Linked DNA regions of Canis lupus familiaris. The protein of the gene in region 2 purifies or fractionates together with the protein of the main gene of each other region. This does not show direct contact. Links are inferred from orthologs where the notes say so. Each region holds a gene or a part of one and is shown on either strand. Other genes may lie near its edges. The genes, in order: DLG5, SORBS3 and WASL.

Region 1 (3,644 bases), on a different chromosome or scaffold from region 2:
AGGGCAGAAGCCAGAGACGGCTTAGGCACCCTGACAGGGCGGTAGGGGGAGAAGGCAGATTTAAGATCCCCTTAACCGGGAATCTGCCTGCCTCGCCTCTGCAGGTAAGGCTGAGTCCTCTGCCCCCAACAGCTTCTCCCACGAGAAACCCTGTGCTAATCTCCCAGCAAGTTAGGGCTATGAAAACACAGCACTTCATCTTGTTGAAGCTATTTCTGTCTTTCGTGGATGGAACTGGAAGGTATTACACTGAGTGAAATAAGTCAGTCGGAGAAGGACAATCATCTTATGGTTTCACTCCTATGGGGAATATAAGAAAGAGTGAAAGGGACCATAAGGAAAGGGGGGGAAACTGGGTGGGGAGACATCAGAGAGGGAGACAAACCAGGAGAGGCTTCTGACTCTGGGAAACAAAGAGTTGTGGAAGGGGAGGTAGTGGGGGGATGGGGTGACTGGGTGCCGGGCACCGAGGAGGGCATGTGATGGGATGAGCACCGGGTGTTATAGGACATGTTAGCAAATGGAATTTAAATAAAAAATAATAATTAAAAATAAAAGCTACTTGTGTCTTTGAATTCCTGTGAAGTCCCCTTGCCCCTCAACAGGAGACCCAGGGAAAAGGGGGCCCCTCCATGAGAGCACAGCCCTGCTGCTGACATGGCAGAGCATTCTCCCTCCCAATTCCCTCCTGTCACCAGGGCCCTGTGATCCACCCCGAGGGTCCTGGCAGCATTCAACACCAACAGGGGCACCAGGCAGGAGGCCGTGCTCTCTGCCTCCCGTGCCACCGGCTGCTCAGAACTCACCTCGAGGATGAGGTCCCCCACCACAAGGCCGTCAGGGCCCTTGGCAGGACTGTCATCCTCCACCTCAGCCACAAACACCCCGTGCAGGTTCCCTCCACATAAATGGACTCCAAGCTCCAGCTGGGACTTTTTGATGAAGACCACACGTGGCTCTGGAGTCTTCTTGTTGGCATCTCCCACCATCCTTCAGGAACGAAAATAAAGTCCCTCAATCACACACGGCGGCGAGCTGGGTGTCAAAGACTACAGAGTCCCTAACGCCCTGACAGTTTTCCTCTGAGGTCTCCTGGTGTCCCATCTGGGCTCTGGTTCTAGCGACTTAGTGTACGGGCTGGATGCTGAGGTTTGTCGAGGTGAAAACATGGCCCCAGCTGAGAGAGCCAGCGGGGGATCGAACAGAAATAAATGCCCCTGCTTTCTGGCCCAGCTGTCAGTCGAGTGCCATAGGCGGCCTCTCTTCCCAGCTGGACTGCACTTGTTCTCCTAACCCTGCTCTGCCTAAGAAAAGTTAGAGCTGGCCTCACAGTCCAGGGCACCACAGACCACTTGGCAAGGTTTGCAGAGCAGCTTCTCTGGCCCAGGGACTGTGCTTAAGCATGAAGAGGGGGCCGCGTGCCGTCAAGGAACTCACAAAGCAGCAAGGGAGACACCGGCAAGCACGCTGGGAAGAGGAAATAGGACGGTGACGGGGACTGATGAGGGGACCTCAGGGGACAGGCCAGCTGTGACTCCGGCGGGCAAGTCCCAATGTGACGGATCCAGGGCAAAGAGCACAGGGCTGGCTACATTCCCTGGCCAAGGAAACAGCTCTGTCCAGGATGACAGGATGGCTGCTGCGTGCCTGCCTCCTCCTGACCTCTCTCCACACCCACCGTATGCACAGCTGACCCCTGCTCACCCTGAACGCGTTGACTTAACTGTCACTGCTCCCTGCCACACTCTCGCTGACTGCTCCGTCGTGGCCTGTACTGGCCCTCCCAGCACGTGCTGCACACGCCTGGACACTTGCCTGTCACCCTCTAAACCTGGAGCTCCCTGGGGGCGACTGCTGATGGTGGCCACAGCCCAGGGCCTGGCTGGGTGGTGACTGTGGAATTCTGTCTAAAGACAGAGTGAGAAAACGAGTAACTGAGAAAAAGAGGAGAAAAGGAGAGAGGCAGAGCTAAGAACAAGTCAATGAGAAAAAAAAAGAGAGAGAGAGAAAAAACAAGAAAGTGAGAAAGGGCAGGAGGGTGAGAGGAAAAAAGGAATGGCATGCTTCCCACCCCAAATCCTGACACCTGCTATATGGCCTGCAGCCCAGGTGACGGCAGCAGGATGAGTTGGGGCCACAGCCATGGCCGCCCACCCTCCCACCCCCCTGGGCCAGGGCGCACAGATGGGAGGCTCACGGCACGGATTTGCTGACCTGGAACTGGGGGTGCTCTGCTTGGCCTGGGGGGTGCCAGGGCCCTCATCCTGCTCCATCAGCGGGTCAATGACAGAGGGATGCTCCGGGGTGGGGGCACTGCTGCCCTGGAGAGCGGCGTGAGTACTGGCAGGGTCCAGGTGGGAGCTGGGAATGGAGGTCAGGAGGAATAAGGAGTGGCTCACAGTCCTCGGCTGTCCATGGCCACCCCCTCGGGTGGTGACCAGGGCTGGGCTCTGAACAGGGACTGGGTCACATGGCTCCGAGCCCCGAGAAGAGCAGACGTCTTGGGAGCTTGGACTCAGGTCGCTGACCCTGCAGGATCGGCCTGTCCTCTCCCCCTCACCTGTCCTCAACTTGGGGATCCTCTCTGAATTCAGGTGTCGGCCTGGAGGCCCACACACTCACTGTCCCTCTTCCTCTGTTGTACATCTTGTCCTTTCGCTGAGCTGTGCAGCGCTGCATGGCGGGGCATGTCTCCCCCTTCTCTCACATGCCTGGCAACCCACAGCTCAGGGGCAGATACAGACAGCGTGTGAGGACACTCTGCGTGAGAATCCCACCCTCAGGGCCTCAGTTCCTGGCTCCACACACCTGTCGGGGGGCTTCTTGCTCTGCATGCTTCCACACCCCACACCTCAGGTATCCTACTTCGCATCTTCCTCCTCCTATATGTGTTTTTTCCAAAATGCAGGGCTGGCCACCTCTCCACTTAGGGCAGCTGAATGGCCAGAACTCACAGCTGGCACCCTGGCTGCACCATCTGTCCTCCCCCGGCCCAGATGGCCCCCCTGGGGAGGCCCAGGCCCTCACCTGGACCGAGAGTGGCTGCTGAGCTGGTGCATGTGTGGATTGTACTGGGCCAGGATGGTGATAGTGTCACACTGCTGCCCGATGATGAGCCGGGCCTGCTGCTCCGTGGCACTCCGCAGGTTTATGCCGTTGAACTAGGAAACATCCAGAGCACACTCAGTGATGTCACGGGAGCTGGGGACGGGGGGAGCACAGCATTCCCGAAGAAGGGAGGAGCAGGGGAGAGGTAGGAGAGAAGGATGCAGTGCGGAGGGGCAGTTCTCGCCTACCTCAAGTAATTGATCCCCGTACTCAAGGCCAGCTTGGTGAGCGATGCTCCCCCCTGTCACCTTGGAGACGTAGACCCCGCCTTTCTCTCCACTCACAATGGAGATGCCCAGTGGCTCCGAGCCCTTCTGCAGCTTGACATGGCGTGGCTCCTCCACATAGGGCCTTGGAAGAGAGCCAACAGTGTGGGGACTCGGACACAATGGAAAGGTTTGGGGCAAATCGGAGGTCAGACATGCAACCAGCTATGCAGAAAGGGGCGGGAACCGCCAGATGCTCCTCTAATGACACAGCTGGATGGGAATGTGATGACCCCCACCTCTGTATGGCAGTGATACATATTCCCAGAA
Region 2 (4,164 bases):
AAATACTTTTCTCTTGTTCTCTACTTTAAGATCCATAGAGACCTTATTTTCTTCAATTCCTCTCATCTAGGAGGGAAAAAACCCACTTCTTACATCCGTTCCCTAGACATGTTGGAGGACATGTCTATTTTACTGAAATATAGTAAGTTTTTGTATATTTTACTGAAATATCATTTAAAAACTGATGCTTCCCAAGGACCAGTTTTTCTGACTTTTTTTTACATCTGCATCATAGGAAATTTCAAACTGATCAGATGACTTTTTTTTTTAATAAAAATGTAAAAACTCATCTAACACAAGCTTAAAATATACATCCTTTTTAAATCTCTGTGTTCTGAATATTTAGAGCTAAAACAACCCAATAAGCCAAGGGTGTGTGTGCGTGTGTGTTTAATGGCATGCTAAAACAAAAGCAGCCTCAGTTTTCTTTTAAAACCTCAAGGCAAACACTTGGTTAATAAGGACAGACATTGCTGTTTCACTGGCCTTTTGTGACTGGATACTGACCTGCAAACTGCAAAGTGAAAATTGTGAATCGCCCTCCGATGGGCTTGATCTGGCTCCTTGTGCAGGGGTAGAAGAATCAGACTCTCTGGGAATATCAGTATTTCTCCTATACTTCTATCTATATTTACATTGTCTTTTCTGTTCCTACACAAACAGTTGCAATTCAGTGAAGCAAGTTCTTGTCAATAGCAGACAGACATCCTAATAACTTATCCTAATAACTTAGGTATGACTTCCTGACACTGTTCAAAATAGGAAAAGAAAAATCCTTTTATTTGTTTTGCCAACAGAATATTATTATTCAATGTCATTAAGGAGCAAGGGTGGGATTTCTTAAAATCGGATAACTTTGGGGCCTTTCGGCTTTGTCATTGTCCCATATATCCTCTTCTCAGTAATTTTAAAATACAAAGTTTGAGGCAGCTGCTCTTCATAAGAAAAATAATATAAACCATGCTTACATGATATATAGCTGGGCTTACATGGTCATTACTAAAGAGTCTGTCCAGCCTCTCAGAAGGAATAAGGCTAAAATCGCTTCCCTCCACCCTCCTGTTTTATGTATATAGTGTAGCTGATTGCCAGAATTTTTGACTATTTTATCTATAAATATAAAATTCAAGCTCTTTAGAATTAACTAAGTTAAAATGGTTTAGGAAGAACTTGCCCCAGATTGACTAATTTATAAACTTTTTCTTCATATTAATTATCAGGTTTTTTCTCCAGTTTTTATATTGAAAATTATTTCTGAACCCATAAAGACTTGTTAAGACATCACTCTAGAATCCCCAATATTTATTGTAGTTGTTATAGTAACAGTGGAACCTAAGTGTTTTTCAGACATTATTCAGCTTTTTATACCTAGGCAGAAACAATTTCAGAGGAAAGGTAAACCCACAGCCCCAGTTTGGGAATGAGGTTCCAATTTCCTAAATCATTTGTGGTTATAGTGATGGATACCATCTTGTTTGGCACCTGGTCCACATCTTTCCCAAAGCCTCTATAAGAGGGAGTAGAGGGCAGCCTGGGAGACCTCATCAAGAGCCAGAGGAGGGTCTGAATGACCTGGAGGGTAGTTCCAAAGCACTATGTTGCTACAATTCCTCTTCAGCAGTAGTGTGATCAAACACTCATAGGAAAGTCAGAAGAAAGAGCAGATGTGTATAGAGGAAGAAAGTTGTGTAGTCGAAAAACAGGGCTGTTACTCTTGAGTTGTGCAGAGAACTGTGTTAACAGTAGAGCTTTGTGCCGTTGCCAGAGTGTGAAAGAGGGAACCTGTGTTACTCTGAGACTCATCACCTGCCCTGCCTATGTCTAGCCAGCCAAAGTGAATGGGGCCAGGCTTAGCTGCCTTCATCTATGCAGTCACAAAGGTAAAGATGATACTGGCGAGGATATTCCCTCCCGGGAGGCCTTGGCCTCACGCCCCAGCAACCTTGGCAAGACTTGCTAAATAACACCTTTGTCTGGGACAGGGTTATGCATCTTCCCCTCTTCTACACCCTCATGACAAGTCAAGGTGGCTTAAGATCAAGAAGCAAGGACAATGAATGTGGACCATCCCTCTGAGCAACTCTAAAGTAGGGCCATGCACACGGCCTTCCTGTAAGTTCTTGCCCCGATCCCGTTCACTTCCTTAACATAGCTGTTTCCAAATAACATTTTGTGGGGGTTTTTTTTGCATGTTAAACTGAAAGTGCATGTAATAGGGAGGAAGCCTACCATAGATTTTGATTTGCGGCAATAAAGATAGGTTTTTTGTGTCAGAGAACCTTTTTGAAGATGTCATCATGAATGCCTTACTTTTCCTTTCTCAGCGCACTGTGACCAATAGTATTTTTCCCAATGGAAATGTTAGCAGGCATTTTCCAAGAAAGCATCCCAGTTTTGCTTCCTAAATGAGGTGGTCAGACATAAATTAGCTGGTAATGTCATTTTTTAAAAGGCCTTTCTGAATGATGGATCATTTGCCTATGCTGAGAGATTATTTGCTTTATCTTGCTTTTGGTTATGTGAAAGAAAATGGTGGAAATGTTATTTACTGGCAGAAATTAACAAGTCTTTTTTGTGATCAAGAAATTAATTTGTTAAAACTTTCTTATTGTAAATTGGAAGTCATCTTAAAAAAAAAAACACTGTTAAAATTAAATGATAACCTTATTGGCTTCCTGTGTCTTTATTTCCTTTATTTCCTGGTAGAGGCACTTATATTTGGCTCTTACCCGTTTAATAATTCCATAAATCAAAGGAAAGTCTGGTGTTTGATGTCTGGTCTCTGATAAAGGAATCTCCTCACAATAAAAAAGACCTCTTCTTTCCCTTACCTCTTCAGCCCTTTCTTGAGTTTTAAATAGGCTCTGGTGACTGCAGTGTTGCCTCTCCCACTCAGAATCTACTGCCTTGCCCCACCCTCTTCCCCCGGCACTCTGCCTACCACTAACTCATGCTCCAGTCCCAGCTCCTCCTGTGGCTTTTCTGGCAGAGGCCACTACTTGTAGGAAAGGAAGAAAGAATGGAATGTCTTTCTTCTTTAGTTTTTATCTATCTTACAAAAGATAAAAATAATTTTTATTATAGTAACTTAATAATTGCAGATGATCCTAATAATAGGCATGAGTTCTATCTTGGGAAAAGTCACAGGAGCCAGAGAGGCATGGACTATGGGGCTGGACTGACAAGAAAAGGAAGTATAAGACCAGCCTTTTGATTCCTCCCCAAAGTAAAAATAGCATGAGGTGCTGTGGATTCACAAGGTAAAATAAGTAGAGGATTGAGAGGAGAGAAAGCACCCAGGGTCCTTAGGACAAATATATCAGAGGATTTTATCAGTTCTGGCAGAAGAGGCCAGACATCAGGCCTCTTAAATCCAGGCCTTGCCAGGCCTGAGTAAGGTAATTTCACTGCAAGTATAGCCCCAGCAAGGGCCACAGAGCAATTTACAGGCCAGAATACAAGCCCAGCTTCCTAATTTCAAATAAGCTGGGTATGCATTTTGGGATCTTTGTTATCCAAATAGTGTCCTGACTTGGCAATGTCCTTATACCTCAGCTAAACCATCAGTAAAATGAGGCAATGTTTGCCCTTATTTCCAGAACTGTGAAAAAAGTTATTTAAAATCCTGGAAATTAAGAACTAAAGTGCAAACTCATATTTACCTCCCATTACGTGTAGATTCAATCTCTACCTTCTTGCCTGCTGTATGTAATTATATGGTCTTCCTGGGTTTTCTATTGTGACATGCAGGTTTTAGAAAGAATTAATTTTGACCCAGTAGATTAGTAACTTAATGGCAAATTAGACAATCTTTTTAATGTTGATACAGTTTAGGAGAAGTTTCATCATAGAACTCAAGGAGGGGAAGACAAGGTTATTCTTTGTTTGGAGGCCAGTAGACACCGTGAAGTCGTGCTCTGATCGACAAATCAGCCCTCTTATCTTATCTGTTTACCTGTGCTAGGGAAGAAGGTTGATGCAGACCTAGTTTTCCAGCCCCTGCTCTGTGTGCCCGTCTTTGTGGCTGAATTAACTTGGCTGGGTTTTCCCTCTGAGGTCATCACTTATTTATCCTTCCCTCATAAAATCTACTTTCTAAAGGGGCTGACAGCTACTTGCTCTTTCTTTCTTTTCTGAGAACTAAAAGAGGTCCAGCTCAGCTCT
Region 3 (4,167 bases), on a different chromosome or scaffold from region 2:
AGAAGGAATGCAGCTCCTCCAGAACTGGGACTGCAACTATTTGTTTCATTTCTTGAACTCTTAGGGCTCTGAATATACTTCTGTCCTAACAAATTCCGGTCGACTTGTAAATGTTATTGCTGATGTTTTTAATGAGATAATGTATTTCACTATAATTTTAAACTACAAAAAGCGGCATAGTCAGCAAAGAAAAAAAGGATTTTTCAAAACAAAATAGTCTTTACTCTCAAGTAACTGGAGACTTCAAATATTAATCTTCACAACAATTTCATACCACAAGAGTGTATGAAATGCCAAATTCAAAAGGTAAAGGTGATTAATAATAGATGACATAAAGATACTGAGCACTGAATACTGATGGCTTATTCAGCAATCCACTTATGCTAACCAGAAAGCAAGGCTATCTTTCTCAATCACAGTATTCTCTCACATCTTTCATTTTTCTGAAACCAGTAAACATTACAGGTAAGCATAGAGCAATTAGTCAGTGTACTAGTGTTTGAATATAATGTCCTTCCTGCCTAAGCTTAATGTGTCTGGTATGTAAAACGTAAAACAACTATTTCCTTTCTGATACAGATCATATAGCAAATGAAACTAAAACAAAAAAATTTTAATTTTTTTTTCATTTGCAGATATTGTAACAGTTTAAAGAGCTGGAGATTTTCCTAAATCGAAAATATACAAAAATTAGTGCTGCTTTAAGAATCTCACACACTAATTATACCAAGTTTTGGTGGGGAAAAAAAAAAAAAAAAAGAACTGATTATTCCTTTTGCACCATTTTTTGAAATAAATCAATAACAAGTAAGAAAAAAAACCCTTCTAAAACAACATGATGTAGTGGAAACTACAGCAGACTAGGCATCCAAAGTCCTGGCTTTCTAGTTCTGGTTACCTACTAAACTGCTGTGTGACTTGGGGTTCACTGGCTCAGTTTTCTCATTTGTTCAAAAGCGAGGGAGGGAGGGGACACGGACACACACGACAGTTGTCTTTAAAACTGTTGCCCAAAATTTTGATTTTAAGCCAGTCCTCTTATTTCATTCTTCTAATCAGTAAAATACCAGGCCCGTCTGAATTGAAGGTAATGATTCAATCTCCAAGAGGATACAAAAAGGCTGACTCCTATAAAGTTAACAATTAACCCATAGAGTAACTTTCCAGAAATTGTCTATCCTAACTTCTTAAACAGATAGATGTAGCCTCGTTTGACATATTTAACACTACCAACAGAAGCTGTAAAATGGTACTGCTCTGTTGACATTTCAGTAGGGGTTTCCTGGTTTCCAGTGGCACATACTATGCAGGTGCTAAGACGCAAAGAGGGGAGACAGGGACCCAAACAGCATTTCAGCAAACTCGACTACAGTTCAACGGAGCCACAGCAGTAAGATGCAGCCAGACGAGGCCTACACCACAGAGCAGAACCTCCCCACCCCCAGAAGTGCCAGCAGCCAATGTAATGAATGCTTCCGTCAACAACACACATTCCCCTTCCCACAGCAGAACTGCTTGCTCCCAACCGGCCATCTGGGGTTGGAACAGGCCGCACAGCACCAACCTAAGAATCACTCTCAGGCCCCAAAAGGCCACGAACTACTAGAGACTGTGGTTCTCCTGCGCATGGTCGTGGGGAGAGCAGCACCTCCTCCCACCAATGAAGGGTTAAAAAAAAAAAAAAAAAAAAATCAGTGGAGAGGAGAGCAGAAACCAGGCCTGGTGAGGCTGCTGGAGGAAAAAAAAAAAAAAAAAAAAACGCTGTTTCTCTGCAATGGGGGGCAGCAACATTCCCTGCCCTCATTCTGAACCGATGCAATCGACTTCATTTTCTCCTGGGAGCCTAAACGGGGATCAAAAACCCCCATTCTGGCCCGCTTCATTCATATCCGGGCTTCATTCCCCGATCTACCCACTTCTGAAACCTCTGCCATTGTGAAAGAAGGTAGCCTCCTCCCCACCCCCAGATCAAGCGGCAGGAGGTGAAACAAGGGCCAGTACGGACGCCCGGTTTTTAAGATCCAGCAGCTCGTGCAGGAATAAAATCTCCTCTTGGCCTGAGAGCAAAGTTTGAGCCAGCAGCAAGGGCGCAGACCTGGGCCCGGCCAGGAGGGGTTCCAGGGCGGGCCTGCGGAGGTGACACTTCCCTGCTCACGGTCAGCTTCGGGAGGCGGGGGGCGGCGGCGGCGGCGGCGCCGGCCCGCACCGCCCGCACCCGCCGCGCCGGGCTGGCTGGAGGCCTGGCGGCGGCCGGACCCTCCCCGCGCCGCTCCCGCCTTCGTCCCCGCTCCCGCTTCCCGGCCCTCGTGCCCGGGCCCGTGAGGTATCGTCGGGGATGGCGACGCGGGTCTCGGCCACTGACCACACATTTCTTGCCGAGGAAGGTGAAGAGGGACTCATTCTCCTGCGGGGTGAGCAGCAAGGACCCCACGTTGGTGACCCTCCGCGGCGGCGGCGGCTGCTGCTGGCCCGAGCTCATGGTTTCGCCGGCGGGGCTGAGCGTCCGGGGCCGTCTCCGGCGAGCAGGCGAGCGCTCTCTCCCCTCTCGGTGACAGGGGTGGGAGGAGGGGAATCAGAGGCGCAGCATCTCGCAGCTCCTCGGGCGCGGGGAGGAGGAGGAGGAGGAGGCCGCGGGAAGGAGGAGCCAACGACGGGCCGCGCAAAGAAAGGGAAGCTCCCGGCTCCCGCCCGGCGAGTCCCAGGCCGGATGGTCGTTGACCTCGTACTCCAGCGACTGCGCTAAACTCCCAACTCCTCCTCCAACCCTCCTGCGGCGGCGGCGGCGGCGGCAGCGGCGGTGGTGGCGGCAGCACAATCCAACATGGCTGCGGGGGCGGACGAGACCACAGGACGCAGGACGCGGGGGAGCGCGCCGGAAACGCGCGGCTGCGGGCCGGGCCCGGGAGAAGCGCCCCCCCCCCCCACGCCGCGGCCGGCCCACCGCGCCGGCCCAGGCCCCGCCCACTTCCGGCCGGGGCGCGGGCTGCGAGGCGCGGGCGCGGGCGCGTGGGCGGGGGCGGGGATCGCGCGTGCGGGCCCCTGCTCCCGTGCTGGTTTCTGCGGGGCTTGGGCCGGGCGGCCGCCGTCTGCCAAAAACAGAAGTGGCCCGCGCGAGTTCTGCGGACGCACACCTTGGCGAAGCGTTTGTGCGGCCCCAGGTCCCCCTTCCCCGGAATGGCTCTTATTTGGGGGGCGCAGAAGCCGGACGTTCTTACTGCAGGTCAAAAGGATCTGGAGACGAAGACGGGAAAGTGACGCGCTCCCCTGTGCTCCTGGGTCGGAGCTGCAGGTGCCGGGGGTTTCTCAAACTTTGTGCAAACTTCAGCAGTGGGTGTAGAGGAACACACAGGCCTCTCTCCCGGAGTTGTGAAAGAGCTTGCTGATGGATGTTAACAAAAACCAAACGCACTTAGAATTTTCTACCGCTCGCCTGGAGTGTTGCGTGGGATGAGTGTATTGAGAACATTTAAATTCAGGCTCTTTTCTCTGAAGTGCCCTGAACACGTTTTTCCCCATCTTGAAAATTGGAAAATATTCTCCCCCCCCCCACCTTCTCATCTTTCTATTCCTATTTAATAAAGGTGTAGTATAGAGATAACTAAACCTACTTCTAAGTAGTAAAATTTACCCGGAAAGCATACGTGAAATACCTGATGGACGGTGGTTACTCAAACATTACTTGCTCTATAGTCCTTATCTTCCCTTTGCCTATGGTTTGCTTCCCTTCCCTTAGCTAAGGATCAAAAGTGGAGTTGAAATGTGTATTTTTTATCTTTGTGCTATCTAAGCATGAAATTTCAAAAAACTGTAGCATTTAGAACTCTCTGTATTTCTTCAAATGTATAGTGGTAAATTGGGGGCATAATTTCTTAGCAGAATTTCTACTTAGGCTATATAGGATGCCGCATGGACGATATATGTACTATTATGTGAAAATTACAAAACTTAAAAACTATAAATCTAGAGACAATCATTTGTTCCTAATACTATCTTTATAATATTAAATACTATTTTATCATATTATGTTTTTTCTTTCTTTCTTTCTTTCTTTCTTTCTTTCTTTCTTTCTTTCTTTCTTTCTTTCTTTCTTTTCTTATGATTTTATTTATTTGTTCATAACAGACACAGAGAGAGAGAGGCAGAGACACAGGCAGAGGGAGAAGCAGG

Evidence for each region.
Region 1: the proteins of SORBS3 (region 2) and DLG5 purify together in Homo sapiens (co-immunoprecipitation; 3 studies listed by BioGRID and IntAct, with this or other methods). This does not show direct contact. The link is inferred for Canis lupus familiaris from reciprocal best matches to the Homo sapiens genes SORBS3 and DLG5.
Region 3: the proteins of SORBS3 (region 2) and WASL purify together in Homo sapiens (co-immunoprecipitation; 3 studies listed by BioGRID and IntAct, with this or other methods). This does not show direct contact. The link is inferred for Canis lupus familiaris from reciprocal best matches to the Homo sapiens genes SORBS3 and WASL.

The regions. Positions count from the first base shown.
Region 1 is NC_049225.1:28,429,569-28,433,212, forward strand, and holds part of DLG5 (disks large homolog 5), read right to left. Parts: intron 3,460-3,644; coding exon 3,297-3,459; intron 3,162-3,296; coding exon 3,028-3,161; intron 2,362-3,027; coding exon 2,215-2,361; intron 991-2,214; coding exon 807-990; intron 1-806. UniProt on the Homo sapiens protein: Acts as a regulator of the Hippo signaling pathway.
Region 2 is NC_049246.1:34,892,716-34,896,879, reverse strand, and holds the start of SORBS3 (vinexin), read left to right. Parts: upstream 1-1,325; 5' UTR 1,326-1,395; exon of another isoform or gene 1,396-1,765; 5' UTR 1,766-1,880; exon of another isoform or gene 1,881-1,982; 5' UTR 1,983-2,112; intron 2,113-4,164. UniProt on the Homo sapiens protein: Vinexin alpha isoform promotes up-regulation of actin stress fiber formation. Vinexin beta isoform plays a role in cell spreading and enhances the activation of JNK/SAPK in response to EGF stimulation by using its third SH3 domain.
Region 3 is NC_049235.1:11,772,776-11,776,942, reverse strand, and holds the start of WASL (neural Wiskott-Aldrich syndrome protein), read right to left. Parts: upstream 2,865-4,167; 5' UTR 2,480-2,864; coding exon 2,363-2,479; intron 1-2,362. UniProt on the Homo sapiens protein: Regulates actin polymerization by stimulating the actin-nucleating activity of the Arp2/3 complex. Involved in various processes, such as mitosis and cytokinesis, via its role in the regulation of actin polymerization.